Styela clava: one gene and its partners. The protein of the gene in region 2 purifies or fractionates together with the protein of the main gene of each other region. This does not show direct contact. Links are inferred from orthologs where the notes say so. Each region holds a gene or a part of one and is shown on either strand. Other genes may lie near its edges. The genes, in order: centrosomal protein of 78 kDa-like, E3 ubiquitin-protein ligase UBR5-like and dual specificity tyrosine-phosphorylation-regulated kinase 2-like.

What was found.
Region 1: the proteins of E3 ubiquitin-protein ligase UBR5-like (region 2) and centrosomal protein of 78 kDa-like purify together in Homo sapiens (affinity purification with western blotting; 3 studies listed by BioGRID, with this or other methods). This does not show direct contact. The link is inferred for Styela clava from reciprocal best matches to the Homo sapiens genes UBR5 and CEP78.
Region 3: the proteins of E3 ubiquitin-protein ligase UBR5-like (region 2) and dual specificity tyrosine-phosphorylation-regulated kinase 2-like purify together in Homo sapiens (affinity purification with western blotting; 3 studies listed by BioGRID and IntAct, with this or other methods). This does not show direct contact. The link is inferred for Styela clava from reciprocal best matches to the Homo sapiens genes UBR5 and DYRK2.

The regions. Positions count from the first base shown.
Region 1 is NC_135252.1:10,889,736-10,900,391, reverse strand, and holds the start of centrosomal protein of 78 kDa-like, read right to left. Parts: upstream 4,942-10,656; 5' UTR 4,665-4,941; coding exon 4,551-4,664; intron 3,481-4,550; coding exon 3,333-3,480; intron 2,540-3,332; coding exon 2,364-2,539; intron 1,924-2,363; coding exon 1,851-1,923; intron 822-1,850; coding exon 718-821; intron 47-717; coding exon 1-46. Other genes in the region: carbohydrate sulfotransferase 10-like, read left to right, coding at 7,777-7,790. UniProt on the Homo sapiens protein: Centriole wall protein that localizes to mature centrioles and regulates centriole and cilia biogenesis. Involved in centrosome duplication: required for efficient PLK4 centrosomal localization and PLK4-induced overduplication of centrioles.
Region 2 is NC_135263.1:5,823,944-5,835,103, reverse strand, and holds the start of E3 ubiquitin-protein ligase UBR5-like, read right to left. Parts: upstream 4,360-11,160; 5' UTR 4,265-4,359; coding exon 4,197-4,264; intron 3,682-4,196; coding exon 3,589-3,681; intron 3,105-3,588; coding exon 2,941-3,104; intron 2,395-2,940; coding exon 2,126-2,394; intron 1,310-2,125; coding exon 1,214-1,309; intron 848-1,213; coding exon 718-847; intron 354-717; coding exon 215-353; intron 1-214. UniProt on the Homo sapiens protein: E3 ubiquitin-protein ligase involved in different protein quality control pathways in the cytoplasm and nucleus. Mainly acts as a ubiquitin chain elongator that extends pre-ubiquitinated substrates.
Region 3 is NC_135256.1:16,017,033-16,027,816, reverse strand, and holds the start of dual specificity tyrosine-phosphorylation-regulated kinase 2-like, read right to left. Parts: upstream 4,876-10,784; 5' UTR 4,727-4,875; coding exon 4,043-4,726; intron 3,824-4,042; coding exon 3,695-3,823; intron 2,817-3,694; coding exon 2,682-2,816; intron 1,548-2,681; coding exon 1,422-1,547; intron 583-1,421; coding exon 1-582. UniProt on the Homo sapiens protein: Serine/threonine-protein kinase involved in the regulation of the mitotic cell cycle, cell proliferation, apoptosis, organization of the cytoskeleton and neurite outgrowth. Functions in part via its role in ubiquitin-dependent proteasomal protein degradation.

The DNA of each region.
Region 1 (10,656 bases), on a different chromosome or scaffold from region 2:
GTAAGCTGTCAATCCAAGCTTCACTATGTCTTTCAGTAGATTGATGCTATAAGAATCAGTCAGATTTAGTCTAAATTAAACATGCCCAAACCAGTGTAGCTTAAACAGTGTACCATGTAGATCCAAAACAAAAAATAAACCTAAACTAATATGTGATTCTGTTGCCTTAAAAATAAGATTACACAATGAAAACGAGTCTCTTGATTAAATTTGGAACTAGAACATGAATATGTTATGTTGATGCCTATTGGGTGATAGATAGTTTTCCCTTTTTTTCCTGTTTACAACAGCAATTCAAAATCTATTTTAATTGCCAATTTCCAATTTTTGGTATTTGTGTCATCATAAAAAGGTTTGATAAGCATTCAATTCAGTATTCCAGAATGCTTTATAATAGCAAAGGCAGGAAATACAAATGAAATTGAGTACAAATTTCACCTATGAGCAAAAGAGCAATTTTGAGTCGAACCCAGCATCCTCAGTGAAACATCTCTAGCTACCAACTATGGAATACAGACATATATATCCTCAGCTTCTACATGGCTCAGAATGGTAAAAAATGAAATATAACAAAATTTTAAAATATTTTTATGCATTTGAATCCACTTGAATTATTTTTAATTTGTTCATTCAATATCACACCATAAATCCTCTAAATGAGATCTGTTTGGATCTATAATTCAAATTAGAAAATGACAATATAGACTTGAAATAAACCTTTATCAATTTGGCTACAGCTTCAGCACTTTTGCATGTAAGACCACATCCTGTGTAATTCAAATGAGTCAATGAAGAATGATGTTTCAAGGCTTCACATATTTCTGAATAGAAACCAAAACGATTGAAGATTACAGAATAAGATTAATACAGGGTGTCCAAAAAATCCCCGATTTAGCAATTAAAATTTTCTTTGTCTTTGTTTATTAATAGTTCTGATTGTGCTTGTAGTTCTCATTTATCATACAATAAAATATATTTAAATTTACAATCGTTATTACTATAAAATCGTGCAAAATTTCCAATTGTTTTTGCTGTTAGATCTGGAGGAATTATTACTATAAGATGGGCGAACTTTTTAATTGTTATTACTATGAGATTGGGGGAAATTTTTGGACACCCCGTATATAAAAAAAAATGATCAAATAAATAGCCCATTGTAAAAAAACACATGGGTCAATCGAAAAATATAAAGCTCAATGTTCCTAGTCATAAGTAATAAAGTGTCCAAACATTATGAGTAATTAAAGAGCATCTTCACTCTATGAAATATATTTCTGGTCATACCCAGTAATATTATAGACCAGCGGTGTGCAGCAATTTTATGTTTGAGGGCCATATAACCAACTTCAGACATCTAGCTGGCCCACACAAAAAAATTAGTTTTTCCCCGTACAAAACAAATTAAAAAATGAATGACAACCAGAGCACCGCGAAAAAGGCAAGAAAAGAGAATACAGCTATCGCTTACCCTTCTAGTAATAAAGTCACCAACCAGGCAAAACGGCGAAAGATTTAAGTCAGCGACAGTATGTTTTTTTCCCTGTGTGAGTGCATTTTTAAACATAAACTGTCGGATTAGGATTTTTTGCTTGATGGGGAAAATATGGAGATGGGAGTGTTGACACGAGCCCCACAAAATGGCTTGCGGGCCGGTTTGTGGCCCGCTGGACGCATGTTGCACACCCCTGTTATAGACTATCTACTCAACGTTTACTCAAGTGTTGCTGACTTTGTACCGTGGTTGAATTAAGTATAGTGAATAATAACTATTCTAATAAAAATGATGCATATAAAATGTTTCAATGTTATAGGACATATCAAAGCTCAAAAAGAGCTTCAACTATACTTACGTTCACATCCTTGATCTCCTATATAGCAATATTCCAATGATACATGAGTAAGTGTGGTGTTTCTTTCAAGCCCCTATAAACATAATTGATGATATAAAAAATGGCTAATAAATTGAATTATTCAAAAACAAGTAGAATAAATCTCACATTGAAAAATAACAACTCATAGCAAATTTGATCACCAAAAATGCTAAATCTCAGTAAGACCAGTGGCAAAAATATAATTTGAGAAACGGGATGGCACAGCAGTTAACATGTTCGACTTAACTGTGATGACATTGCAGACTAACATCTTGGGTTCAAATCTCATGCCCCCCGTATCATTAGTGTGTAAATTGAGAAGCCAATATTGAGCCTGAATGATTCTGGTTTTTGGAAATAATAGAAGCTTTCTACATATTGTTAGATATCGGAGGGATACATAGAAGGCCTTGTTTGAAGCAAAAGCCAGAAAAAAGGAATGAAGAATCGTTTTAAAAAAAAACCAAACACTCAAAACTTAGCAAACACCACCTTTGACAAGAAAGCCAAATCCTTCTTTCGAAATGGAATTCCCTGCAAGTCCAAGCACTTCAAGTTTTCTGTTTGTTTCAAACATTCAGAAATGGCTTGAGCTAATCGCAGTGTCATATCCTTGGATTGAATTGCTGGTGGTCGACGCTTGAAATAATGAGATTTCTTTTGTTCCCCTGAATAAATAGATCTTGTGTATAGTGTATTGTGTATATAATACAAATATACGTTATGGGCCTTATGGCAGATAATTGATAGGTGGGTCGTGGGTGAATAAAAACCCTGAACCTACTCCCAGCATCACATAAGACATAGAATGAATAATCAGAAGCATATTAAAGCTGCAAGGTAAATATATGATGATTACTTGTCTCAGGTGAGTTGCACATCTTGATTTTAACAATATTAATAATTTAACTGTAGGCCTATTAATGAATTATATTAATAGCTACATGTGTTTTCCCGTTTGCATACAGCTTCGGATATGCTGGTGGCAACTAAGGGATTTTGAGTTGTCAGACAAGCGGATATTAAAGCACAATATCTCAACTGGTAACAAACAACTCAGAGAAAACAATGACCCTTATATTTATGTCGTTTTAGATATGATATAACATGAACATATAGTGATTTATGTAATTTTCCACATGAACTTGCCCCCAATTTGTGCATTCAATATTTGTTCGTAACAATGAAATAGTCGGTTTTAGCCATCCCTGGAACACATATATTTCGTGAAATCTCTATTACCATATGGTTAATAAATTAATAAGAAGTACATAATACTTTTACTGCTAGTGGTTGACAGATCTGAAAATAATTATTTAACAAGTGCAAAACTGGTAAAAAATATCCCATATTATATATTGAATAAATGGTTAGGTAACCAGGTAGTTCAGAATTCAAATAGGCTACCATTTACTATTTTGAATATCCTTAAATTGTTGAAATTAACAAAATGAAATATACCATCCTTCTCCGCTGATTGTGAATAGTAGCTTCGAATTGCAATAAATCTCAAATTTTTGTTTATCCGAAGTGAGTTAAGAACAGGTGACCAGTCAACCAATCGTATTTTATCACTGTTTATGTCAAGCACTCCTTGACCCAAATGTGCCTGCAAAAATAAGTTTTTGTTCAGTTATACTTTTTTGACCAATTCCTTTGTATATACCGGTACATCCAAAAAATTTCAAGATCTAAAAGCACTCGATATACAGACATATAATTACTTAATGTTAATAATGATAATTGCTGTATAACTTTTAATGATCAAGACATTGTGATCAGCTTTTCACAATACAATTTTGAACAAAAATGAAACTAAATCAATAAAAGAATACATCACAGTCCCACACTGATGCCAATAAAATTGAATGGAAACCTTTTGAACAGTTAGAAATATCTGAATAAGTATATAGTTGGAAAAATGAATTACGTATTAATGTCTTATTAGTTAGAGATAAGAGTAAGTAAGATCATTTTAAAGGTAGCTTTTAGTTGAGCAACATTAGAATTTAGTAACCTATAATAATTTAGAAATATCAAAATATATCCTGTCCCTTACATCATATGAAATTTCTCATATTTTTGGAATCAAGATTTTTGATAATTCCATTATTTAGTGAGAAGTGTTGAAAATATTTTGACTAGTGTGGGATTCCTATTACTAGGTTGATGCCATGATGCTTGCAAAAAAATGTTACATTTGCTAGATACAGAGTTATGACAATACAAAATAAAGAATAAGTAGCCCAATTAATGAGGTATTATATACAATGTACAATAAGTATGATAAGATTGATATTTCTTGAATGCATTTTTTTCATTTGATGTTAAAATACTGAAATAATTTTTAATCTAGTCTACTTTAAGATAAAATATTCAAAATCTTTATTCATAACAATAGCCTATAAACTTCCGAAACTTTGCTGCAATAAATTTAGAACGCCATGAAAGTAGAATCAATCAATGCAATGGCCAATGAGCAGATGTATTGTGAATAATTTAACATTACCAATATTGAAATAGAAATTTATTTATGAAATATTGAAAAAATAATACACAGCCATGAAAAGGAAAATGTATTCATTTGTATAAAAAAATTCATATTTCTATGAAATATGGTGTCTTTTTCACGAGTAAGCAACATTCAACAATGTCAAATTATTTATCAAGACTTCTTACCTTCACTTCAAGCAATGGAACAGTATCTTGCAGAGAACATAAACTACTGTAATGTGTTTCAAAATCATATGAGCCACGGTGTCGAATAGAAACACTTTCTGGAGCGACTGACATTATCTGATTCTGGCTTAAATTTCTGAATTTATGTGACTATATTCCAGATATTAGGTGGAAAAAATGCTCATAGTCATACAGTAGTAAATTGCGACAATTCAGAACTTATAAAAAAAGTTCTTTTCCTTTGCTGTTACAATGATCAATCCTCAAATTACAATAGCGTAATTCAAAAGCCAGAACAATGCAGAAAGAGAACAATGAATGAACGACCGCACGACAGTACGAAGAAAGTGAATCGGCAATCCAACGTTTCTTTTCAGTTCAAAGTTTGTTGTTTCAATGGCTTACTCATGTGCATCGAGGCGCATCGGTCGCCCTCTCAAATATATCTTTTTAGGTGACCGTACATTTGAACCCATGTAGGATAGGATTTACATATTTATCCCGGAGGAGAGAGGAAAGCCGATAAGACGGCTTATCCGTATGGCAAACCACGGCCTCTCGCCCGGTTACCATTCCAAGTCGGGTATGGAATTAGTTTTTACTGTATTGTTTGTTTTTTTCGGAAGCATGGACTTGGTGGTGGAGGAAGCCGTAACCGACCAGCGGTTACGTGAACCACCCAACGACGGCGAGGTGTCCAGCAATCCTCTCGCACATAACCATCCCTGCATGGGATTCGAACCTGCGAACCCACGCAGAGTAATTAGAGGTGCGATGGCGAGCGTATTCCTAACGCTTAGCCCGTTGAGCCACACCGCCGCGCCGAATGTACCAAATGTACATTTGAACCCATGCGTATATCCACGGGTTCAATCTATATGCGGGTGCTAAAACCCATGGGTTAGGGTTAGTATGGGTTTAACTATCCGTGAAACAAAAAAAATTCCATAGGTGCAATAGCATACAGGTGCAATTGTCATGGGTTCAAATGTACGTGGGTTCAAATGTAATGGAACCATTTTTTTATTTTATGCATTGAGATCGGTATGTTAGTCGTTGATTGAGATGTACGGTATGGAATATGGATGTTTACCCGAGACCGTCGGTTTCCTTGTTTATTTCCGTAACAATGACCAATCGGCAATAACTCAACAATGATGTAACAATTGAATTTCGTGAAGCCGATCGGACACTTTATTCGCTTAGAGCCTTAGCTTAGACAACCATTCAAGAATGGGTGTAAGCATCAGAGTTGTATCAATTACATAAATTCAGTTCAATTACAATTGCAATTACTCCCTTAAATGTTTTAATTACATTACAATTTCAATTACTCCGTGCAAAAAATATCAAATTACAAATACATGGGCCTTTCCCCGACCTTTAACCCCCGAAAAATTCTTCCTATACTTTACCATTGCAAAATTTTCGGGGCTATTTTAAGAGTGCTTTTGCGAATTGGCGCCTGTAAAATGGGGTATGTGTTTCAAACCATACAACAATCTGTTTTTTAAAAGTACCGGTAAAGAATTTTTGCCTAGTCCATCAGAGCTATTTCTACACTAATTTTTTATTACTGCGATTAAATTAAAACTCCTAGGAAGACAGAGTGATCATTGAATTATCTGATTTATATTTAAATTTCCGAAACACAACAGAAAACTAACGAATAGAGTTCAAAAACGCGAAAATGAGGTAATGTTTACGACCACGCTTGAAAATTTGTCTGAGTGAGAAAAGTGTCTGAGCGGATGCGAGAAGGGAGCATTGTTACGTCACTTTTCGCATCTTGCTGATTGGCCAATGTCACGAAGTAAACGAGGAAGTCGATGCTCAGGGAAAGGCCCATTACAATTACAACAGAGCAATGCTCAAATATATGGACACGTTACACAGAGCGAAGCAGTCCTTACCCTTGACGCTACCGCTACCCTCAAAAAAAATTCCGAGTTTCGCGTAGAAGCGTCGCGTCGCGAGAAGGCAATATGATAATTCACTTATTTGATTTAAACTTAAATTTCCGAAACACAACTAAAAACTAACGAATAGCATTCGAAATTGCAAACTGTGATATTGTTTACAACCACGACTGGATGCGAAAAGGCATATTGTAACGTCACTTTTTCGCATCTTGCTGATTGACTAATGTTACGAAATAAAAAAGGAAGGCGATTCTCGGAAAAGCCCCTTGGAAAAATATTTCGCCCTTTTTCGTATTATTGCGGGCTAGATGAAAGGACGCCGTAGTTTGGTGATCCCTTGTGTAATTGAAAGTGTAATTGAGCCAAAATTTTAGCAAATTACATTTACAATTACAAGAAAAACTGTAATTAATTACATCAATTACAAATTACAATTGATCCGACTCTGGTAAACATTGCCTTGTTTTCGTTGTTTTGCGTGTTATTTTTGAGTTTCCGGTTGTAGTAAATCAAATGACTTAATTGTAATTATGTCTTTCCACGAGCTATTGTTTAGTTGCAATAATCAAAAACTGGCCCTGGAAAAGCTACAAGGGACTAGGCTACCTAGCTATCTGTATCTGTAAGCAGCAAAGGGATGAATACTTTTATAAAAAAAAATGATGGTTTTTAAAAGGTAAACCAGTTTGTAAGCGCAAACTCGCCAAAATTGACCTCGAAAAATTTGTAAATTTACTGGGGTCAAGGGTCGGAAAACATTATGGATAGATGGTAAAATTGAATTACTGTAATTCAATTCTTCCATGAGCAACTACAGAATCTTGAAACACATATTAAAAACACAATCACAAATAAATGAATAATATCAATAACCAAAAAATTATTCATGTGCAGATTTTTTCCACAAATTTTCAGGTATGGTGGTGGTGAACATTAGCTCGTTTGATTGATTTAGTATGCTATTTTTTAGTTGTGTTTTGCAATGGTGAATTGCAGAGAACAAAGTTTTTTGGTACCAAAGGTCGAGGAAATATCCATTGTTTAGCAGCACCCTTCTGAGATTATTAATAAAATAAAAACTTAACGCGTTTGATGTCGACTCTAGTGAAACTTCCATTAGTAATTAAGAATTGGTTATATCTAGAGACAAATTTGAATGTTGAGTAAGTTTCTAAAATTGCGTATAAGAGATAAGTTTTCAGTCTTTACACTCAGTATCCCATTACATTAATATTAGTATAAATATAACTATGAAATAATTACAGAATCAAAATTACGAAGATGAAACGAATATATATTTATGCATGAAACAATTCAGGTAAACTTATGTATAAATTTTATATTATTATATTAGTTGAATTGTTTTTAGGCCTACTATATTTATATTTTTGAATATTAGAATTATTCTTCAATTCCAAAATTTTATCTCATATTCAGGTATACTTTATCATTATTTATTGTCTTAAATTCGAGCATTCCCGTATTCGTTTATTTGTTCACTTAATGATATATCAAATGTGACATTCACTGATCTTGGGTAATTTATATTTATTGGATACGAAATGAATCTATTGATCGTTTTGTCATTTTGTATTTTACCTCCTGTTGTTGTGAAAATTTATCTTTATTTATAAGACCAATTACTGAAATTTTCGCTGATCAAAGATTGTTGTTGTCGGCTATTACTTTGTTGTTTTCAAAAATTTCTGTGAACTCAATGTAATTCGATTTTTAATAGTATGTTGTTGATAGAGGTATTCTTTTTTTCTTTTTGTTTCCGTGTTGTTATTATTGTGGAAGAATCGCTTTTTTCATTAATGGACCAAAAACTTTCAAATTTTCAGAAATTTTATTTGTGGCTAGAAGCCCATTACTTTTATTTAGTTCAAAAATTTCTGTGGACTCTATGACTATGAGATTTGTTGCGTTCTGGAGGTGGGTTGAAGTCCGGAGGACTACAATAATACATTTCCGGTACTGTGAGAAAGATTGCATACCCGTACTACTTTGTTTTGGCTTCCGTGTCCATATATTTGAGCATTGCTCCATTGTTTCTTGAAGTATTAAGTCAACAGACACAATCAATTTGTTTTATTTAGATTGACATTGAACAATTTATACAGTTATTTTTTGTAGACAATAGGGTATGTTCCACATACCAGCGAAGGGGGCATATGTAGGCACATTCATATCAAGTTAAAATAAAATTTAGTAATTCTGGCAAAGATGTTAATACCAGCTGTTAACAGGACTCAGATTCTTTGCATTATGAGAAAACGAGGGAATCATAGCAATACATTTCCTGACAGCTGTGAATGATCCGAGTCGTAGGCTCGTAGTCCGAAAACAAGTATTTCACCGGACGTTAAGTTTTGATCTCGTGTCGTGCTTGATAGTCTTCTAACTATCAGAGAACGAAATTAAGATAAGATGTCATGACTCTACCTTAAAAAGAAGATACAACAGAAAGGGAACTGATCAGGTAAAATTGCAAAAAATAAATTGGAAACTAAATATCACCCACTAGGGAAGTCTGAATTTTTCTGTATGTGGTTTGAGAGTGAGGATGAGGCAACCACGGAAATGATTTCATAGAGATCCATCCCAGGACGGGACCGCTTCCATCTGCATTATATTGCACAACTGAAAACGTTTTAGTATCTTGGCTGACTCATCTACTTCCTATCCATTATGTGAAATCACACCATATTTTCTTCTGTTAATCAAACACAAATTGTTTAGGCGAAGCAAAGCTCGATGCTGTGTGTACAAAACTGGCCGTCGCTGAATCATTTGGCTGAGATTTGTCTCCGAAAATGGTCATACATGCTGTAGGCTAGTCATGACACATAGACAAGATATGGCTATTTAATTTACAACCCTGCCCTGAATCAGGCTCTGCATAAGTAACTACTGAAAATTTGGTGTGTTCAATCAGATATATGCTTGGAAATAGGGTCTGTATAAGCAACTAGATCGAAGGACAATAGCATTTTACTCTGTGATTAAATTACAGAAATGAGAGCATTAGAATATTGAAACAAAGAGTACGAAGTGCAAAACAGCGCAAAGGAAAACCAGTTATATAGAACAGTGATTTTCAACCGATGTTCCGCGTCAAATAGTTGTACCCATTTTTTGTAAAAAGAAATCGAAAATTCACCAAGCACATATTTAGTTTTTAAGAAGATTTTCTTGCGTGTAATTAACGTTTTCCTCGAAACGGACTTCCTAGTTTATTTCCGTGACAATAGTTAAAAAGCAAAACGGACACGTAACATTTGAAATTTAATCAGACGCTATTTTCAAGCATTGTCGTGAATATTGACTCGGTTTGGTAATGTCAGGCGTTATTGGTCAATTTCTACATGTTTTTAGAATTTAGGTTTGAATCAAGCTGTCATTCATCTTGTTTTAAAAAATATTGCTTGAATCTTGGTCACGCGGGGGAACCTTGGTCCAATTGAAGTAATGTAATAAAAAAAAAACGATTACGAAAAAGTTAGGATATATATATTAATAAATATATATTAATAAGTGGACTAGATTCATTTTTTTTAATGACAGCTGCCCAGATATTCAAGAAGATGGTATTGATTTTAAAACTGTTTGCAAATGCCGTAGCACGTAGAATACTCTCAAAGGAAGCATTAAAATTAGTCAATGACAAAAGTACAGGTAGAATTTTTCACGCGTGAAAGACTTATTTTATTTATGTCTAAATTTTAGAGACATTAATGAAAACTGACAAATGTTACATAGAACCGATCTAAGCGGCCGCCCAAATTTTAGTTTTATTGTATTGCTGATTGGTCATCAATACGTAATAAACAAATCGATACCAAAATATTCGTTTGGAGGCTTATGACATCGGGAGAATAATTTAGTTAGCTATATCAAGGCAGTTTATTAACTTATTTATAATACAGACCGCGCGTTATATCATACAGATAAGAAACCAACAATCATTGAAGCTCACCTAAACAAGCTCATATATCATATTAATATTGCATCGCTATTCGCTACAAACAGCCAGGTTGAAATTGATTCCTATTGGCGTACTCTTGTTCTTTGTAGTGATAAATTTAAATTTGTTAAATTAACGTCTCTTTACAACTCGAGTCATAAGCTATTGGTCTTGCTGTAATCTTGGTAGGGATTATCGTGTTTTCGGATAGTTTCCA
Region 2 (11,160 bases):
GATTTAAAATGCGACTTATTGTCCGTTAAATATTTACAAGATATTTAGTTTTAGCCATCAATGACTCTGTTATTAACCAAACAGAAAGAAATAAGTAATTACTTTGGCAAATCTTCTAGCTTTACTGCCATTAGAACTTGAATTTCAGGGAAATACATAATGAACGGCAGAAGAACGTCAGAATCCATTAAATAAAAAGAACACAAAAACAAACCTCGGTGCCCGTTGAAAAGTATATCCAAGTAATTCATCTGGTAGAATAGCATCAGAATCAATGAAAACTCCGTGTTCACCGGGATGTATTCCAGAATCAAGTAATGATAAGAGATCTTCACTTGGTATATAGTCGCTACCTGTTGTTTAAGCAAAGTAAAACCAATAATTTTAAAATGAGTGCTATCGGTTAGGTTTATGCGAGCGCAGAATTAACTACTTATCAGGGTTATGGAGTCTGAGAAAATTCACAATCGACTGTGACTATCGGTAAAGAAAAATTTTGACCTCCGACTCAAAACTCTATTTTGATAACTAATACTTTGTCATATGCAAGTTCCTTCAATGCAACTGTTGAAAATGATTAGTACAGTACAAATTTTTTGTGAATTAAACAAGTATGATAACATGTAAATGCAAATTTTTTTTTTCAACACATAATATTATTTACAAAAATGATCTTAAATAACGGAAAAAAATTGCCACTCCTAAATCGCGACTCACCGTTATCATCCATGTCATCATTGTCTTCATCATCACGACTCAGCAAGTTATTAACAGCCAAATTAACATCGAGGTTTGTTCTTTGAAGCTCTCTAGTTATAATACTCCTGGACTTGCCTTGTAGTATTCCCTGAATATAAAAGTATAGAAGATCTAAATTTGTAACTCAACATCTCCTGAGATTAACACCCATCCATTTCCGATTGAAAATTAGTCAAAACAGTCCATGGATGACCGAAACGGAAAATCCAACATTCCTCATATTTGTGAGTAGTGTTACTGATATTTAGTAATATTGTAATGTGAATGAACATGAATATTTTAGACATGAATATCAAACAGAGCATCAAGCATGGCAAGGATGAATGTGAGTTTCAAAAAAGCCAAAGGGAGGTGTGCCTTGAAACAGTTGTAGACTGTTACCACAAGTGATTTAAGTCATTACATCACCCGACCATTGTAGCAGTCCCACATTCTACATTAACTACACAAATACCTGTACTTGGTTCACCAACTCTTCAGGCACATGGGAAGCAGGTACAATCACTCTCTGTCCAGTCAGTAACGAGCTTTGTAATCCACGGCCACGCAGCTGAAAACAAACAGCCCAATTAAATGTGTGTTAATAAACTGGTTAGCTTACGTAACTCATTTTACCTGCAAATGTTCCCACTTGTAACAAAATTTTTATGATAGTTTTTTATAAAAACATTTGCTTTGTGGTATTCCCCAAGTAAACCTGTGTTTTATAGAACATTGTTCGCAAAATCAGCAAAATTGAGAATTATATTTATGTTTTTTATTTCAATTTAAGAATTCTATTAATTTGGTAATCCAAATCAAGTATAGGCATCCAAACATTGATAGTAACTAATTCCATACTGATACAAAAATTGTTATGTACTGTCAAGAGTCAAATCAACTTTTCATATGGATTAAGGTGCACAACTCAGAACACTTGGCATTAAACCATTAGACTTAAGGGTACTGCTGTAGTGTGTGTACCAGGTTAGGGTTAGGCCATAATTTTGTTCCGATTTTCCGTATTTTAGTTCTATTACAAGTTCAGGGATTGTCTGTGTTATCCAAGTGAATATACCCCCTGCCCATAGGTTTCAGTCCCTTTACATAACTTGATGTAAAGTAGGCGAACAAAATTAGTAACCTCCATATTGGTAGTTTGGTACACACATACTTCTGGAGCAACGACTTAAGTGTGTTGACATCGCAGGTTACACACTTAAGTACAAATACAATGCTCAATAATGAATCAAGTGTACAATGCCTGATCAGACAAATAGACAAATTTCAGTCCTTCCAAAAAATGCTTGTTTTGAGCAAGATATCGAAAAGCACTGTACACAAAATTTTTAATCAAAATTCAACCTCACAATGAATTCACTCTTACCTGAGAAGTTCTTACAAGTCTCACTCCGCTTGCGCTTAGAGAAGACGCTGCATCTGAGCCGCTGTTTCTTGCTCGATGTCGAGCAGTTGTTGTGCTCGCTGATGTTACTGATGATGAATTGGTGGTGGCAGAAGAAGACGCGATCGAACGAATCACCCCAATATGTGTTCCCCATCTTCGTAGAGCAGATGAATGGCCACTGGATAAATCAGTGCCTGATATTATCCATGGTGTGCTACCTGTTCGAGGAAGTTTCGGTGGTCTCTCTCCTAAAATTGAATATACGAAGGACAAATTATTAAAGATGAAATATTAAGTTATTTAATTACAATGACACCAACACATTCTGTGTTGAATTCAAAACATAAGTCTAACAACCAGAACTGTGGAGTCGGAGAAAATTTACAATCGACTTCAACTTTTGGGTCAGGATTGAACAAAGCTTTAGCTCTAATAACGCAGAGTTGAGAAATATTATCAATCTGATTCAGATCCAGAATTCTGAAGAATTTCGACTTTGAAAATCAAATTAAAAAAAACAACATTCGCATATATGTGCTTTCTTTAATAGAAATTAATGCTTTTTAAGTTTTGTTTCACTTTATCACCATTGAAAGTCCGCAATACAAACAAATTAAGAATTTTGAATCAGACTCTATAAATGCTTGAAAGTTCAAAAGTTGAAAAGGTTTGATCAACTATTCTTCAGTTTGCTACACTTATATGAAAGTGAAAGTTATTCTTTCCATATGATTTATTATAGTATGTGAAATTATCAAAATATTATACCATAAACAGATAAACTGATATCTCACCTGTTTTACTTGTAGATGTTGATTTACTCGCACCAGATGTAGCTGTGGTAGTAGTTGCTTCAATTTCAGGTTCTTCTTGTGGATCGTGGGCAAAATATTTTACCCGACAGACTCTTCCATCCTCGAGAAGAAAAGCAATATGCTTCGATGAAACCACACATTGCCTGATAATAAAAATATATAAAACAAGATATCAGTGGCGGCTTGTACAGAGACTTGTTTAGAGTGTAAGAGACAAATGAGTGGCATATATATTATTGGGTATGCAGTTACTACCAACAATAACGATATTCACGACGTAACAAAGTAATTCAACTCTTGACGTTATTAATGCTTTTCGATTCACATTAATTATTGTTTTCCCACATGAATTTTAAATAGTCAAGTAGCAAAAATCGCTTCATTAAGAGTTATTTAGGATTATTAAGACTTGTGGAACGAAACAGCAAGTTCCTCATTGATGCAGACTGTGGATGAATCTATGACCCATATTCCTCTTTTTCATGATGAAAATACAGTGTTGAGCCATCCAGCAAAAGACGTTAGCTACGCCTGGCCGAAACTATCAAATTACTGGTTACTATCACAGATAAGTGAGTTGAATACATGAAACATATTAGACATAGATAATATTTGGTCAGGGCAAACCTTATCTCATATTGTTGAAGTTCTTGTAGGACTGGTGGTACATCCTCGATGGACGGTGCATAGAAACTTCTCTTTTCACTGAGAGCCTGTAACCTGGAAAACAAGTTTTCTATCGTTATTTACAAGTTAATGAAAAAATTACAGAACACACATTCAAGTATCATACAACATACTGATTCTAATTACCGACAAAACAACAATTTAATATAGAACACACTAATTTTGCACTATCTGATGAGCTATTTAAAACCGATTCAATTACACAGAGGTTGCGTGTGCTTAGAACATACTTGCCTTTGCACCATTAAGCAACATGGATTCAAATCCACTGGGGGAATAATTATGTGCAAGAGGCTTGCTGTATTCTTAGCACTTCATGTAACAACTGGGCAGTAACATCATCCTCGACCATCAAGTCCATGCATCTGAAGCAAAAAATTCTCAGCTACTCCCATACCCAACATAGGTAACCAAAGGGTGTGACATGATTAACATATGATTGAGCCGTCTTTACTCTTTACTATATTTCTATATGACAGGATAAATATGAAATACCATTCTAAGTAAAGGCTAAAACAACTTTATAAAATAGAGAAATTCCATATTACTTCTCTTGAAATTGTTCTTCATTAGCAGGTGACTTCTGAACAATAAAGTGGATGCTGGACTTCGACATGTGTGAGCAAATTACCACACCACTTGATCCTTTTGTACTTTGTAAAAATCGTAGGTCTATATACGTTTTTATGTATATCACTATACTGAAGCGTATGAGCTGTGACATAAAAATTTGTGATTGAAAATTATAGTAATTCAGAACATTTATTCAGTCAACTACTTCCATCTTCAAGAAATAAAAATTAGAATTCTACGAAAATGAGATGGAACCAGCGCTAGTGCCGATTAACCCACATTTTCATGAATGGAAGAACACATCACAAGAATAAAGTCTTAAACAGCATACATGAACAAAAGAATATAAAATTCGCGGGAATATTATTTGTAAACTAGAGCTGCGTGCAGCTTTTACAGACTTCCCGCGTAAAAAAAACTGAAGACGCGTTTTTCTCACTGGAGCGTGAAAGCGTGGTCAGTCATGCATAAAATTTGCAATTTATGATGGGGGACTTATTATATGCATGTGATGTAAATTTCAAGTCTCTCAGTAGTGTCGTTCTCGAGAAGAAGATGAAAATCCTATATTGCTCACTGGAGCGTATCGCCGAGGTTACTCATGCGTATCCTTGATATGTCGTATGCGGAACATGTCCATTAATCATTGTTATGAATTTCAACCCAATAGCATGTATCAATTTTGAGAAATCGCAAAAAAACTGAAAACGCGTTTTGTTCACTGGAGCGTGAAAGCGTGGTCAGTCATACATAAAATTTGCAATTTATGATGGGGGACTTATTATCTGCATGTGATGTAAATTTCAAGTCTCTAAGTAGTGTCGTTCTCGAGAAGAAGATGAAAATGTAAAATCCTATAGTGCTCACTGGAGCGTATCGCCGAGGTCACTCATGCGTATCCTTGACATATCGTATCCGGAACATGTCCATTAATCATGACAAGCAGCGGGAAGCCTAATAATGCAAATTGATCATAACTTGGAAGTCAATTAGTAGTCCTGTAATGGAACGACAACATGCATTCAAACCTCATTTTAGAATTTTTTGTGTAAATGCCACATACTGCAGTTCTGACATTACACACACAGCTGGTTTTTAGTTCACAGTTTTGTTTATAAAAAAACTTGCAGGCAACCTGACTACAAAGTGAAACGCCTGAGTAATGGCCTCCGTCAATATTCATGTTCAGCCTATGACTGTATGACTTCTTGCTTTCTTCTTCAGTCCGCCATGTCGGTGAGTGAACGCGCCTAATAGGGTTTAAACTTATTTTATTAGTGTTATTCACTTCCCAGCTTCTTTGCCTTCAATCTTTCCTGAACATATGTTTAATTTGTTTTTGCGAATGAATCGAAATAAAATCTATTTTGAAATGACGTAGTTCTGGCATAAAAATCTAAACGTTCCGGTTTTAATTTCATCATACTTTTTTAGACTTGCGCTGTCGAATGAGATATACTGATGCAAAATCGCTGGTCACCGGAGCATCAGTATTACTGATAACGATACGGTATATAGGTTAGGTGTAGACTACGAGAAAGAAAATGAAAGTTAAACCGGTAATCCCTGAAACCTCGTGTTAATGCATTCCTTTTAACGTTACGCCGTGCAGATGCAATAGGCAGAGATACCTCTGATCTCAGTCAAAGAAGAAAATTCCCACGCGTAAAAATAGATGTACCAAGTAGCAAGTACCAACTGACTTTTTTTTTATTTTATAAAAAATATTTTGATTAGATCATTGGTGGGACATAAAGTAAATCAAATATCAATTCTAATACATATTGAAAAAAAAAATATTTAATCGATTAACTTGAAATACAAACATAATCACGCCCTAATTAATTTTACTTATAATTACCTGTACTGTCATTGATTATTAGTATTTAAAATTATTTGGACGCTAATTTGGCTAGTTTTGGCTTCTATTTGGTCAGTGAAGCAGGTATAGCCCACTTCTTCATATATCCAACTTGGCAATACTAATGGGGCAATTTCGCATTAAGTGACTCCAATTATAATCAGCTTGACGAGGAATACTTTTCTATCCACAGTATATTATTCATGTTGGCTAATTCGGTATCCAATTTGGCAACCCTCATAAAATTATTAATTTGATGTGGTAAAAGAGTTTACTTACTTCTTTTTCATTTGTTTGTATATTTTTCTTTTTACTGAGTAATTTGATTGATTTTAATTCTCGCTTTTTTCACTTCCGACCTTATCATGTCTCGATGATTGTGTGCGTGTGTGTGCGTGCGTGCCTTAATTACTTTTTTTACTTTTGGGTGAGCGAACACGTACTATTTCTTTTATCAATACCTTTCCATCTAAAATTGGCACGCTTCAAAACTTACTTGAGATTTCCCGATTCTATAATCAGTTACTTTTATTTTTCGTTTTTATCTATTGTAAAGTTGAAACGTGAATTCCAATCCACTCAACGTTGTTGTAGTGGAGTCCTATTTGCATCCGCCCCCACCTTGAAGAATTATGCGCAATCTCCCAGCTTCTAGTAACTGCACAACCAAAGTAAAGAGGCAACGAGATCCTTAGAAAACGAACTGTATTCATCACTCTCCACATACAGACATGTGAGTAAAAAGTTAAAGATATGTATGACAATCACATGGTATTTAAAATTAAAAAAAAATAATAGCGGCTGTGGAGTATGAAAAGTTCAAGACAAAGAAAAGAACAAAAATTCATAGCTCATGAACTCTCAATTTTGCCTCCATTACTTTGTGAAGGCCAATATATTTCGAGTGGCTGAATTAGTTTACCTTTATGATAGCAACGATTTTGTATTTAATATAGCAAGATTTTTTTCAATTTAATTGAATTGATATTATTTCCCAAAGCAATGCTTGAATCGTCTAGAATGGATCAGTGGTGTCAAACTCATGGGTTTTCGAGAGCCGCATTGCATTTTGGAAATTGTAAAAAGGGCCGCAAACAGTTTTTGATAATGTATACTTGAAAGATATTTTTAAGATAGTTTTAGTTTGTGACATATGTTGTGATGCAACTAAACAGTTGGATTAAGTTTCATTATTTTCTTTAATTTCAAATGCAATTACATATTAATATTTGCATTCCACTATTATTGCAAGTTACTGTATTTATTACAAAAAATCATAAAATTCTATGTACATCCATCAAAATCATTTTGAACAAACTTTGGATAAGGAAAGAATAATACATACTTTAAAAATTACTTAATTTAAATATATGGACCTAAAATTAACAAAAATACTACAGTATAAACTCAATGATTTTTTAATTACATTTGTCCTGACGTTTGGTATCTTTTTTTGTGTCACCAGCATACTGAGGCCAGGCTGAAATGATTTTATAGTACCAACTCTAACTAACGAGGTCACATGATCATGGGCTAATTTGGATCTTTGCGAAAATTAATTCCAGTAATGCAAAAAAGTTATTTTTATAATTTCATGTAGAGATCAGTAAAAAAACACATGACAGATTTTTTCGACAAGACATTTCGCACCACATTGCGTGGCATTGGATTGCTTGAATTATTATTGATATTGATTTTAGTAACTAAGTCGTTGTATAATTATATTAATATACAAACACATGAAAATTTTCTGTTCAATGTGCTTCAGAATTTTGTGAAATGCAGAAATATTGCAACTCTCATTTTCTTTGAAAATGCCACCTTCTTCATGTACTTTGCGTTTAATTTAATCACTCAAGTGTTTTATTCAAGTATTCTTTTGCTAGCTTGATGTGTATTCTTAATTGGGTCAAAATGTGAACAAAAAAAATTAATTTTCCAAAACTACTTTCAGTAAATTGTTTTCTGTGTGAATAATCAATTTCACTTTAAAAGGTTTGAAAAATCTATTATGCATACTCACGCTTTAGAATTTTTTGTTATGTTCCTTAAGCCCTGCAGGATGTGGGGGGCATACACAACTCTATCGGAGGGTCAAATGTCTTTGCATGCCTTTATAGGTTGTTCTTGTATTGCAAACATTTATGGAGTACTCTAAATATACTTCTTGCAATCACACGGTCACTGATATGTCACCAGACTTCTGATATCTCCTTTTCTGCTATAGTTGTCCTGTGGATAAATAATAGGAAATTGAGATTAGACGATTTGTTGAAACTTTTGCTTTATGTCGGCTTTATTTCTTGATTGATATACTTACTATTTTTGCTATTGCCTCTTGTGCTGCAGGAGTCTCACAATGCTTAGACAGGTTTGTCCACATTCACATCTGAAGAAAAGAAAGAGAGGAGATTTATTAATTTTCGTCAAGAATAAATGAAGCAGTCTATATGATTTAGAATGGAAAAGCTAATAAATCCAATATCTCATGTTTAATGTAAAAAATGTTTTACTGAATTTGGTATATAAACCAACTAATACAGGAAATTAGTCAGAAAATTACAAGCATTCGTGGCTCCATATACTTGAGAGATCAGACTATACAATACAGACCGGTATGAGTGAAATGTTAGGTGAAATTGTTAACCCTTTGATTCAATCCTCACTGATTAAAAAAAATCTAAATGGAGGTGCATGAACTATTTGAAACCATACGGGGTAAGTAAATATGCAATTTCGGCAAATGGGCAACTACGTACCGTACTGAATTAATAACTTCGTAGTATTTGACAAAAGCTGGCTTTCCCTTATGTACTTAACAGTGCGATGCCCGGGTGTGATATACAACAATAGTATTTACCTTACCTTTTTCCGATTTCCTTTTACCTCAACTTTCCAAAATATCATTAAAATCGACAACAACTGTCAAAGCCGGCACGAACACCATTCGTGCTATGCCTTGAAAGCAGCACACATCCGCTCGTTTTCGTCTCGTCAAGTATGTGCATTGGAGCGTGCTATCGGATACGATCTTCGGCCAAAAATGCCGTAGTTGCGCATCATGTTGCTTAATGTCATTGATTGCACGTGCAAAAAAAGATAGGATTTACATATTCATCTCGGGGAAAGGAAGACCGATAAATTGACTTAATCATATGACGAACTGCGGCCTCTCGCCCTGTTAGAATGGGATAGGATTTACATATTCATCCCGGGGGAGAGGAAAGCCGACAAGACGGCTCAACCATATTACGAACCGCCGCCTCTCGTCCGGTTACCATTCCATGTCGGGTATGGGATTCAATCAATTTTATTTTGGTCACTCTGAAAGAAACAAAACAACAGAAAACGGACAAACAAAATGCAGAGGACGGGCATAACCTAAGGAAAAAGTTAAAAACATACAAGTACGTGCCCGTCCACTAAAAACAGTCAAAAGAACACAATAAAAAAAAGACACGATATAAAATCGGGCAATACCTTTTAAATCATTTTAAGCGGTGGGAGGATAACGTTGGTAATTTTCTACTACTTGAATAATAGCAAGTAATTTCATTAGAAAATATATGTAATTTAATATAAACCATCAATGAATCAATTTTCACGTCATGAGACGGCAAAAATCAATTCAGAATTCTACAATGTAATGGTCTCCACGGATTAGTTAATTATTTGTTTTCTTCGTCTATCTCCCTTCGGAAATGCGCGTTACAATAAAAGAATCGTAACATTGTTCATGTTGAGTATAATTCTATTTTTCCTATTTTGTCATAGCTCTCGCTAGGGGAGAAGTTGCAACTGCAAACTTACGAATGCTATCCGTTAACTATGTTTTAGAATGAATAAAAATGGATACAAGAAGCATATTCAACATCAGTATCGGACTAATAAATTAATTAATTAGTATAAATACATGACAATAACATTCTGCGGCCCGTCGCATCTTTTGTGATTAAAATGCGGCCCTTTCACCCGGGATGTTGAGTACCTCTGATCTATAATATACCACAAGAAGTTTTACTGTAGATTATTTTAAAGGCAACATTGCGTGCCAAACTTTTTTACTGCTCAAGGCGAATTTTTGGCAATAATGCCTCTTATATATACTTCACTTAATAACATAATTCGAGAGATCAAAAAATTATGTATTTTATTATACTTAGGAAGGAATAAATTAGAAGTCAAGTCTGAGTGAAATGTTTGTATTTTTGCGCCAAATAATGCAATGACCATATCGAGATCCCAGATTCCGCACATCGCACGTTTTTGCATTTAAAAGCATGGTCATGTGTGTAATTCTGTGCTGTGATTCAATCCCTGTGTCTAGTGGTTAGGATAGGATTTATATATTTATCCCGGGGGAGAAGAAAGTCAATAAGACGGCTTAACCATGGCGAACCACGGCCACTCGTCCAGGTTACCCACTTTTCTGATTTTTCGTATATTTGTTTGTTTTGTCATGTATTGTTTTGTTTACGGTAATTAAAAAATGAACTTCAGGTTTCGATGCTCGACAACTAGTTTTCGGTTGATATTGCAAAAATGTTACTGAGAGTATAGATTGATGCAAGTCATTTTTGACTGAGTAGAACTTTCATTTCTAACATTATATTTGGTAGAAAAGGAATGAAATCAAAGTTGATGATGATTTGAGATTGTACCTAACTAAAATGTCTTCAATATAAAAAAATTTTTATCTTCATCCATCTTATTGAAAATATCATGCACAATGATTAGTCAATTTTTTAATTGTTTAATTACATTTGTTTTTAACTTCATGTTTTGAGGGCGATAATGACGTAAAAACTACGGATAAAAAGTTTGAGAACCACTGTTGTACAGCTATCTATTACAGTACTCAAATTAAATTATCTCCTCCTGCTAATACCTATTACTTTACATCACTGAAAAGCAACTTCCATTTCTATCAACTTTCTCTATATGCAGCTGCCGTAATTTGCCAGCCCCTGTAATTAATTGTTGTGTCTAGTGATTTGTAAATTAACCGTTTTTAATCATATTGAGTTTTGATCATCTGGCCCAGTAACCAAGTCTGTTATCCGCATCCAACCCACTCG
Region 3 (10,784 bases), on a different chromosome or scaffold from region 2:
GCTCACAAGTGCTTGTGCAGTGCTGTTTTGCACACCCCGGACTGCAGTCGGGGGTTTTGGCAATCTCCTTCGCAACCATCCATGGCGTAGTGCCTGACTTGGTGTCATGCGTAGGGAAGGGTCCCATTCCAAGCACCGTTTCAAGAAGTCAGTAAATTGGGCATCATCACACCCTTTAAGTGCAGTAGTCCATTCTTTGGTGCCCGGGGGTCCTCGTAGCTTCCCACGCCGAGACCTGCCAGGATTCATAACTGTACGGCCATCAGATGAAACTGTTACTAGGCAGTAACGTGGATGGCCTTTGGAACTGATAAAATTCTTTGCTCGTTTTGACTGCTCTACCAGACGAGAGGGGGGCATACCAAGTAACTCAATTGTGCATGCAAGTTGGTCGCTCTCATCTTCTCCAGGAAGCAGAGGGTACCCCGTTAAAAGCTCAGCTAGTATGCACCCAAAACTCCACATATCAATGGGCATACCGTACTTTGCTCCCAAAATCACTTCAGGAGCACGGTAAAACCGAGACTGAATGTAGGTATAAACCCTCTGATGTTCATAGCAAGACGAACCGAAATCAATAACCTGTAAGAATAACAGGCTTTAGATAACAAGCAAAACATTTCTGTTATACAAGAAACAATTATCCAAATGTTGGTAATTTTTTAATGGATGTTAACTCGACAACAGTCTTAGCAAAACAAGCTGGATGACAATCAAGAACATCTAAAAGGACTATAAACCAAACCCATACACCAAATAATTTTCATAACATATACATGTAAGTACTGCTATGCTTTATTTCAAATAATTTACCCTCTGGCAATACTGATACTCATATACATGACAATGAATATAAGAGATAAGAATGCTATGTATACTTCAAGGTAAGCTATTATGCTACATAAATGTGCATAAGCAATTGGAGATTATCTGAATTATTTTGAAATTTACTCCTAAACAAAGGACATGTTATGTAACACAAGTTAATGAAATGGTAACTAGTAAATCAATCATTCAGGTAAATTCATGAGTGCCAATTAACTACATATGGCAAAATGCGCAAATTGTATTGGAGAAATACCATTATATAAATTATGTACAAATGATTTATTCATACTGAATAGATTACCCGCTCAAAAGCCCAGCTGTTACGTGTTAATTATTGAATACCGGTATGCAAATTATGTTTGATGACATTATTATACAGAAATCAGGATAGTTTGAAATTCCAGAATTTAGAATTTTCTAGAATTAATTTTGATCCCAATCATTCTAAAAATATTCTGTTAAGAGTAAACATTATATATACAAATTGTATTCAATAGACATTGGCAAAAATACTACGAGGCAAATCATGTCTTATAATCTCAGAAACAACAACGAGATCATGAATATAGGTTGTTACTCATTAAATCACATACCTTTATTCCGCTCCTGCCTTGCTGCTTCAATAAAATATTTTCAGGCTTCAAATCACAGTGAATTATACGGTTTCTGTACAAAGAATCAAGGCACTGAAGAATGGAGTGAGCAAATTTACGAACAAGCTGTAAAAATAATAGGATTTTATTACCATAGGATACACAGTTTAATAAAGCTGTGAAAGAACGGATTATTTATTAACTCAGTAAAGCTGAATTTTACAAAAAATCAAGTAGATCTTGAGGAAATTATACACTTCATGTTAAAATTCTTGCACAAAAATACATCTACAGACAGCAAGTGTTTGCTTGTGTCTCCTATAACAGCAGTGTGGCTTTCTTCTACTGGCTTACTTCCAGAAATATTTAAGCAAAATTACCACAATAAATCAATTCACAGTATCGATCATTGAAATAAAATGTGACATTCTTATCATGACATTCTTCTTGATAGTGTGATGTAACAATAAATTGTGAGACGAAACAATAAGCAATTTCCTCATAGCATAATTGTTACTAATCCATCATCTACATGGATATTAAACCCTTAGTAATTAATCAAAGATTGACCTATGAAAATTTTATGAAAGCATTCATGTAATAATTCTAATTATTCTCTGTTAATAAAGAGTATTGGTATTGATATACACCATTAGTATTTAATAATAGTAATATTTGGCATGTTTTCGTAAAAGAGCATAATTTGTTATGAATCTATCAATTATAAGCAACATTGATCCAGTATTAACCACCCACTCTATTCTCTTTATTCCATATAATAGCATATACAAGTTGATTGAAGAGCAACAACACAATACATATATAAATATATAATAAAGACTAGCAGTCTTGGGTGTGTTTTTACTTCTTTCCAGTCTGATGACACTCAAAGGTTGTTAGGAAGCAATGTATACACTAGTATTCAACAAGTAATATACATTATACGTAGCCAACCAAGCAGATAAAATGGAACAAAAAAAGATGTGAGAATTGGCTATGACAAAGTGTGAATGAGTAGTTCTTATGAACAGACCACTGGAATGGAAAATTAGAGTAAAAAAATCAATGCTGAATGGTCAATTTTTAGCTGTCTAATTAAAAATCCAATTTCGTTTAATACATTGATCAAAGCGCTGCATGATTTAATGGCAGGCCAAAAAAAGTATGTCTATGATTAAGAGTAATGGAACAATTTATTTTCTATATTCAAATACATTGTATATAGAAATACTTGAAAATAAAAACGTTTACAGTATATACCTGAAGTGAAAAGCCTTGGAACTTATTTTTCTTTATCAACTCATAAAGGTTTATGCTGAGCAATTCAAACGTCATACATATATGATTTCGGAATGTGAAATTCTCCAACATGTGAATGACATTCATATTGTTATCCTGTTGTGATAAATTTGAAATAAAAGATGAACAGAAATTTCTAGAATCAAAAACAAATATTTGCTCATAAAACAAACATTCTAATACAGTCAGTTGGTTATGGAAAAACCATAAATTTCTACAGAATTACACCAAGAAACAAAGCATAATGTTATATATTGTAACATTGCCAGGATAATCTTAATTACTGTTAACAATAGCTGGTAATGAAAATATTGATTAAATGGGTAGACAGCTTCACAAATTTTCTATATTATAATCAGTTTATATAGATTAGACTTTCCATAAACATGAAAAGCTATGCATAACACCATCTAACGACATTCTCCTTATGAATAATATATGGGGTGTTGATGAGAATTTATGCTGCAACAATACTGTATCAAATTTACTGGCATTTTACAAACATTGAATCTGAAATTGTACTCATCAAGTTGTCAAACTAAAGCATAGCCTGCTCTTGAACCATATAGCAGATTTATTCTTTGATTGATGGCATACAATTTTATTGTACTATGAAGTTTGATATAAGATGATACTTACCACCATATTCTATTGAAATTTTTCACAGTTATTCTATGGGAAACAATCACAAAATGCAATAGGAGACATATCATCTTATGCAATTTAATATTTATAAGTGGTGTTTTGAGGTAAAAGGGCATGGTAGAATATGATATGAGAGGAAGTATACTTCGTTCTCCGGATATTTAAAAGGTAGACAAATCTTTATTACAGCAATTTCCAAACAAAATTAGAAACGTGATATGCCGGTAAGCTGCACTGCTTATAACATTACAGCTTTGAGGAAATTTTCCATGAATATAACTACATAATGTGTAGAAAGTATATTATTATTATACACATGCATATATTACCTTATCTTGCTTTTTCAAATGCTCCAAAATTCTAATCTCTTCTGCTGCTTGTCTATGAAATCGTTTTTCATTTCGAACGATTTTTAGAGCAATATGTTGTTGAGTTTTATGGTCATATGCTTTTAAGACCTGCCATGTTAAAAACAATGAAATTGTAACATTAACTATATGTACATCGAGTATGTGATAAAAAAGTGAACATCATAATCCATTAATCAATAACGATATTCTTGGGATTGAATATCGATATTCCTGAAAATAAGACATGGTTATGAATAAGTAAATCATAAATTTAGACAAGCAAGATTGCAGAATGATAAGGCAATTGCAACAAAACTAAAATATTACCTGTCCAAAACTTCCTTTGCCGATTATCTTTAAGACCTCATAACGATATGTGACGTGGTCATGAGCAACAGGAATGTATGAGCCTTGCTCGTCATCAAATCCATTATTGTTAGCACCACCTACAACACCCTGCCTTTTCTTCGCTGTCGGACCAGTGTAAAAAATTTGGGGGTAGCTAAAAATTTCATGATGCTCATAGGAAGTCAGTTTGTGCATGTATTGTTTCATTGCTTGTTCAGGTGTGAGATAGTTTTGTTGTGTTTTAGATTTAGCTGAACCACTGGCAACTGAACCGTTTTCAACTGGAGGTGAGCCAGCTATTCCTTTTCTTTGTTGTGACATAGCTGCCAGTGCTCTGCGACTTGGTGAACCACTTAATTGTACTTGTTCATTGTAAACATCCTTAGCACGTGTGTCTTTAACTAATGGCAAGGAAGGCCGTCTGCCTGCACTTCCATAAGTATGTTTGGTCTGTCGAGCTGCAGCTCTAGTACCATCGCCATGTTCTTCATACAATTGCTGAACTTTTAATCCTCCTAAACCTGCGGTAATATCGTTCATCCCTCCAACTGTTTGGCTTTTAAGTGGCGGTAAACCAACATGGTTGACAGGATCTTGTACAGTCCTTGAATGATGATTGTGGTGATGGCTGTACATACTGGTAAGAATATTCTTCGTCAGCATGTTTAAAAAAACTCAATGAAGTTGATTCCTTGCTTCTTTGAAAAGCATAGTATCCTATGGCTCAGATAACAGCAATTGATAAAAACACTAAAAACCTAAAATCTTTAGTGAAAAAATGTAATTTTTCCACCTATTGCCCCATTACATCTGTCCAATAAAACACAAATATTATTTTCGAATATCGGTTATAAACTAGCATATCAATATTAAACATGTTGGACACACTTCTTCTTTACTATAAATATAAATCAGATTTCCCAGTCTTCCCGACCTTCAATACTGCAGTGTTGGTAATAGCACAAATTTAATTTTAACCCTGAATACCATTTCAAAACATATAAATCACATCCCTTTCCTTTGTGTTGCCAACAATACTCTTCCGGGTAAATCACAACATTTTATCAGTTGTTCCTTGCGGTGAGTAAAGACAACTGAACGTCACCATGGGCTTTTTAAAAATTTTGGCACCATTCGACGTCTAGAGTAATAAGTTCGAATAAAAGTAAGGACATTTGCAGCTGTTGCATAATGTGACGACATCCCGCGAGAGACGAACCATTGTTGGTTTGACGCTGTCTGCGTGACGTAATCCACATATATTTGGCTAATTAGTCAGCTTTGATTCCGCCGAAATTTAAATGACGCACAATTATAATCACAAAAAACTTCCCGAAAGGATGATTTTGATACAACCATGAGAAACTCAATTTAGTCTTCTACGTATGTACCCGCGGAAGTTACCCATAAATGGACAATTCAAACTATACCTTCAGAGAACATCGCCACTGGCGTCCTGCTACCTAAGCTTGGCTTACCATTTCTCGAAATCGACTTCAAGCCGGATTTCTTCAAGTTCAAATACAATACTCCCAAGATTCAAGAGGTATCAGTTAAGAATTACGCGAATAAACAAACATGCTATTTATAAAACCTAATCCGAGATTTTCTGACAAGACAGCTAGTACGCGCGACTTCTAAAATACGAATCATCGTCTCAACTACACGCGCGTGGTCTTAGTAATGAATGTAGTTATTTAAATTTTCAGCCCAGGTTGAAATTGTACAATAATTTGTACACTGTCTATTTGAACTCTTTTTCGAAATTAAATATAAAGAAAGTCGTTTGCGTCGATACAAAAAACATTTATTTAAACAGGATTGAATATAATCCTACTCCGTTCTGTCTCAATAGATTGTAAAACTAATAAATTTATTATGCAAATACTTTTCGGGTCAATCACACAGCGAGGCAAAACACCTGTCAATTTACGGACTACTGTCTAATTATTCAAACCTCGGAATTTTTGATCAAACAAATTCAAACCCGCGCACATAAAAAAAATCTCGAGCCTGCTAACATATCTCCTACTCTTTGTATATAAGATTGTCTGCAATCCAGTGGCGCTAGAAACTTCACGTTTGCACTTTCAAGGTATTGCCTGCATCCTCAAAGGAAATATGCCGATTGCTCCGCTCCGAGTTACCCTTTCACGCGGTGTAACGGTAAGCATAGGTTAATTAGCTTAATATGTATGTGAAAACCAATTGCAGTTATTCTCCAACGCTAGTAAAGTTACCCCGTAATCATATACTCCGCAATTATGATATTAACATCCTTCATAGGGCACTACTGTACCGGATTCATTACGGGCAAACTCAATTAGGTTTCAGAGGTATTAAATGCTACAACCTTCAAAAATGATCCGGTAAATTTTCGTGACGACGTATTGCTAGACGAATCATGACCACGCACTGTTACACACTGCTTGTCATACAACAATACTGGTCAATCATTTTAACAGTTTCGTGATGAGTATGTGTCAAACGAACACAGATTGACTGACAAGCGTGAACACTTCCGCGTCGGTTAAAAAGTACACAGAAAAAAACGGTCACGGTATAGAACTGCTTCATTTGTGCTGCCTTGATCCCTAATACCAATCGGCAAAGCCTTGCAGGTATGTATCGAAAAAGAGTCATCCATACAGGGCCCATCGAACTTATCAGAGAAACATTCGCCCCCGAATCACATATACCGAGTCGAAATTATTGATCAAGAAATACAATTATAAATCAAATATTGTTTAGAATTATATTACCTAGGTCAATGATAATTTATAATTGAAAACTTGAGACGTGATTTCTGCCAGATAATTATGGCGCTGGACGTTCGATGATAGATAGTTTCGCTACTTGCAAAATAACGCCTGCTTTGTTTGTATATTAGCGCGAAGAGTTTCGATGGCGATATACATTTCTTCACCATTTATGTACCGCACCAATTCGTTAACACTTATAAAAAATAGGTTTACAGTACAGCATTAAATACCAATGCCATGCCGCGAAACAATCGGCTCATGATAACAACACTTTAATTTTAGGTCAAAGAGATTTAATAATATGCTTACTGGATCGTAAAATGACCACTCATATTATAACAATTACCATGGCGCACCATATATCATCTTTGTTAGATCTAGCAATAAGTCGCAAAAGCATAATGCACGAGCATAAAGTTCATAGACATTGATTTATTTGTCCGGACCGCGCTAAAATTAAGGATTACGTAGTTTGTGTAATTTACTGCACTTGTTTCGGCATTATTTTATTTCCAACTTTTGAAATTGTTCAAATATCTATCTTAACGAATAGGCCTTTTCATTTCTGTGTCCGGGCCTGAAACGCACAATTAGACGCCGACTAAACCATTAGGTGATAATCTTTATCATAGCAAGAGTTTCAAAGTGAATTGTGGTTGCAAACTAAAAGCTCTTAGCTGAGGGCAGTGGGTCAGATCACAGATATCTCTCGCGGTAGACAGAATGAATGCCAAGTCAATCTCTGGGGTAATCTCGTAACAACATGTAGAGTCGGGTGCTGGTATTAGAATTTTATTTATAAAATAATTACGACTTTATAATCTTGCGTTCTGATGAAGGAATTTATATTACAGATTTTTTAATATAATAATATTATATCTTTTTGTGGATGAAATTCAGCGATATCTTTGAATCGAAGAAAGACCGCGGTGGGGACCTATATTTATTTGACGTACTACATACTTCTGGAACAGTTAAACAGAAACAAGATCCCGAATCATAAAACCTTACGTTCCCATAGTCGGGTCCCTTTTATTACGAGTAATGCGCGTATATGCTTTCTAAAATGTTGGAATAATATTGATAATTACCATTAATTAGTAGTCAAAAATAGGTTGCCAATACTTTGACAAGCAGCACCACTATGTACCAATGATGAGCAAAAAAAAAATTATACGTAAAGTACTGTAGCTAAAACTTTTTTACATTAATGCACAACATAATTAAATAAATAATTACCCAAGGCGCCATGTATAAATGTGGGGGCAACCAGGCATTGGGTCGTCGTCCACAATAGATAACGGACACATCTATCATACAGTCGATATAGACAACATACCAGAGATCAGGTGTTATGAATAAGACAACACAGAAACTATCCTTTGATCTTATATATAATTTCACATTACTAAATACGTGCAAGCTCTTTGGGCAGTCAGTTTGATAATGCTTTCTAACGACGCAGCAACTAATTCTTTTTACTTAATATCACTCACAGGGCGGCTGAGAATATGATAATAAAGAGCTATACTGAATTCTATGTAGGTAATATAACCTTTACTTCATTCAGAAACGCACTGAACACGACCGGTCTTTAATAAAAATATCCGTGTACATTTTTCAAAAGCTGACAGATACATGGATACGTGTATACAGCTCGCTTCTATTGTTCGACTAGTTTAGGAACGCTGAAATCCTAGCAATGCCTGTTGCGCCTAATAGGATAATATTACATTTGTCCGTCCGGATCAATTTTCTCTATACCATTGCCCAATTCGCTAACCAATTCGAGTCGTTCATGCTTGGGCCCCATAGAGAGAAACGTATGCCATGCTTTTGGGCGTATTATATTAATAAAACACCTCGCAATCCCAACCGACCTTAACATGGCCTAAGTAATTGCTATTGGAAAATCGTATACGAGTCGTACCTAGTTAATGCCAATTAAAAGAGCAAGTCGTCTTTTAAAACCACTGCCCGCAGCCATAACCTCATTATAGCTCTATAACGACAGACCCTATTAAAAGATTGAACGTTCCAACGTTGACACGAGAACGAGCTTGCGTTAAAACTGACAACAGCGACTCACGTATATCTATTTAGAAGACATTATTTTAGATCGCACTAATGTGACAGCCAATAAAACTGATTGATGATGATCTGATTTACGACATTGACTCGGACAGTGAACAGTTTCTTGTTCAGGAGTAGAAATGAACAAAAATAAAACCTTTACATTCATTTGTGTAAATATTGCAATTGCAGAGCTACAATTCATTACTGGAAGGTGGGCACGAATTCATTTCTACTGAATGCACTTTATTACTCTAAGTTTCAAATGCGGCTAAAACGAGAAACTGCACGATACATTGTAGATGAGTCACATCTTTTCAAGTATACAACTATCACTTCAGTCATAATATACACATTCATATTCTAAAAGTATACTAAAACTATCCCACAGTGCACACAATATAAAGTCAACATTACCATAACTGTTATCAATTTCTCTCTACTAGTATGAAGAAGTAACTCCCACACAGAATAAAGTCAGACTGATAATTCCCCAAGATGGTCTTTGTAATATTAGCCAATGTCGCGTTTGATGTGTTATGACGACTTGTACGTGACAGCAGGTGTTGTGTCTATTTAAAACTATGGGCCAAGCATGTGCGCTGGGTGGAAATTACTATTCGAGATCGACACATCTACATCTATACTTGGCAAAGTTATTGCATAAACTTGACAAAACATAATGACAACCACAGTCACTTCCAGGGTGACAAATACGTTTGTAAGGTGTTAAGAACATGCGAACGGGTGATAATTTTAAGACCTGTTAAAAATACATAACATTATAACTATATAGTGCACTGATTTTGATGTCATTTTGATATAACACTTCCACGGCAATATACATTACGAGAGCAAGTAACAAGACAAAGTTAAATAATTAAATTGGGAACGAAGTAATTTAAAAAAAATTGTTCGCCTGAAGTTGTCCAATATATCTTGGCTAGCGTAATACGCAAAGTTTTTTTGAAAGCACTATGATTCCGTTCCGAAATTACATATAGTCCCATTCTTGAATCAAGATGGCGATTTTCACAAGTTACACGCCCAGCGTGTGAGAATGTTCCTGATACATATCACTCATGGGACTATTTTATCGTGTACCCCATGAAACATCGGTGACAAGGTTTCGGAAGTAATAATTTTCACTAAAAAAATCATCATTGTCCTTCCTTAATTTAGATATTCCAAACACTGTTCGACACAAAAACAAAACTTTCCACTGTCGTTCCAATCTAAACATTTGCACGAACTATCCGCTACACAAAATTCGATTAGAGCCAACGAGAAAGTCGATTCGGTTTAGCGTGATTTCCCAAGCGCCCGGGTTTAATCGCAATCGCGTGAGCCTGTTTATCATGAATTAAAGCCATTCGATTTTTCCTTAATTGCGGTGGTGGTTAATGAAGGCTGTGCGGACGCGCCTATTGCGTTATACTATTGTATAAATAGTGAAAATGAATTTGACGTTTGTAAGCGAATAACCAACCAATCTGTGAACAAAGTAAAGCCGCGTCACCGTAATTGGTATGTAATTACTTCATTTGACCGCAGTACTCGTCAAATTTCTGTTACAAAGATGAATAGTAATTAGCATCTCCGTGTGACTTCGTTCGCTAATACGGACATATTAAGCAGTGGCCACATATGGACCCCGCGTCGAGGTGTTAAATCTAGTTTTAAAGTCTATGCACCATAACCCTGTACAGAGTGGCCACAAACATAACAATAGTAGGGAGAAAAGTCGATCATAGTATAAACAATAATCAATTTCAGAATCGAATTTATCCCAAGAATTATGCCAATCGTCACGAACAAACGGCCTTAAAGTACTTGTAAAATTGTGCCCAGAGTACAATAAAACTTCTTAAACCGGGGGAACGATT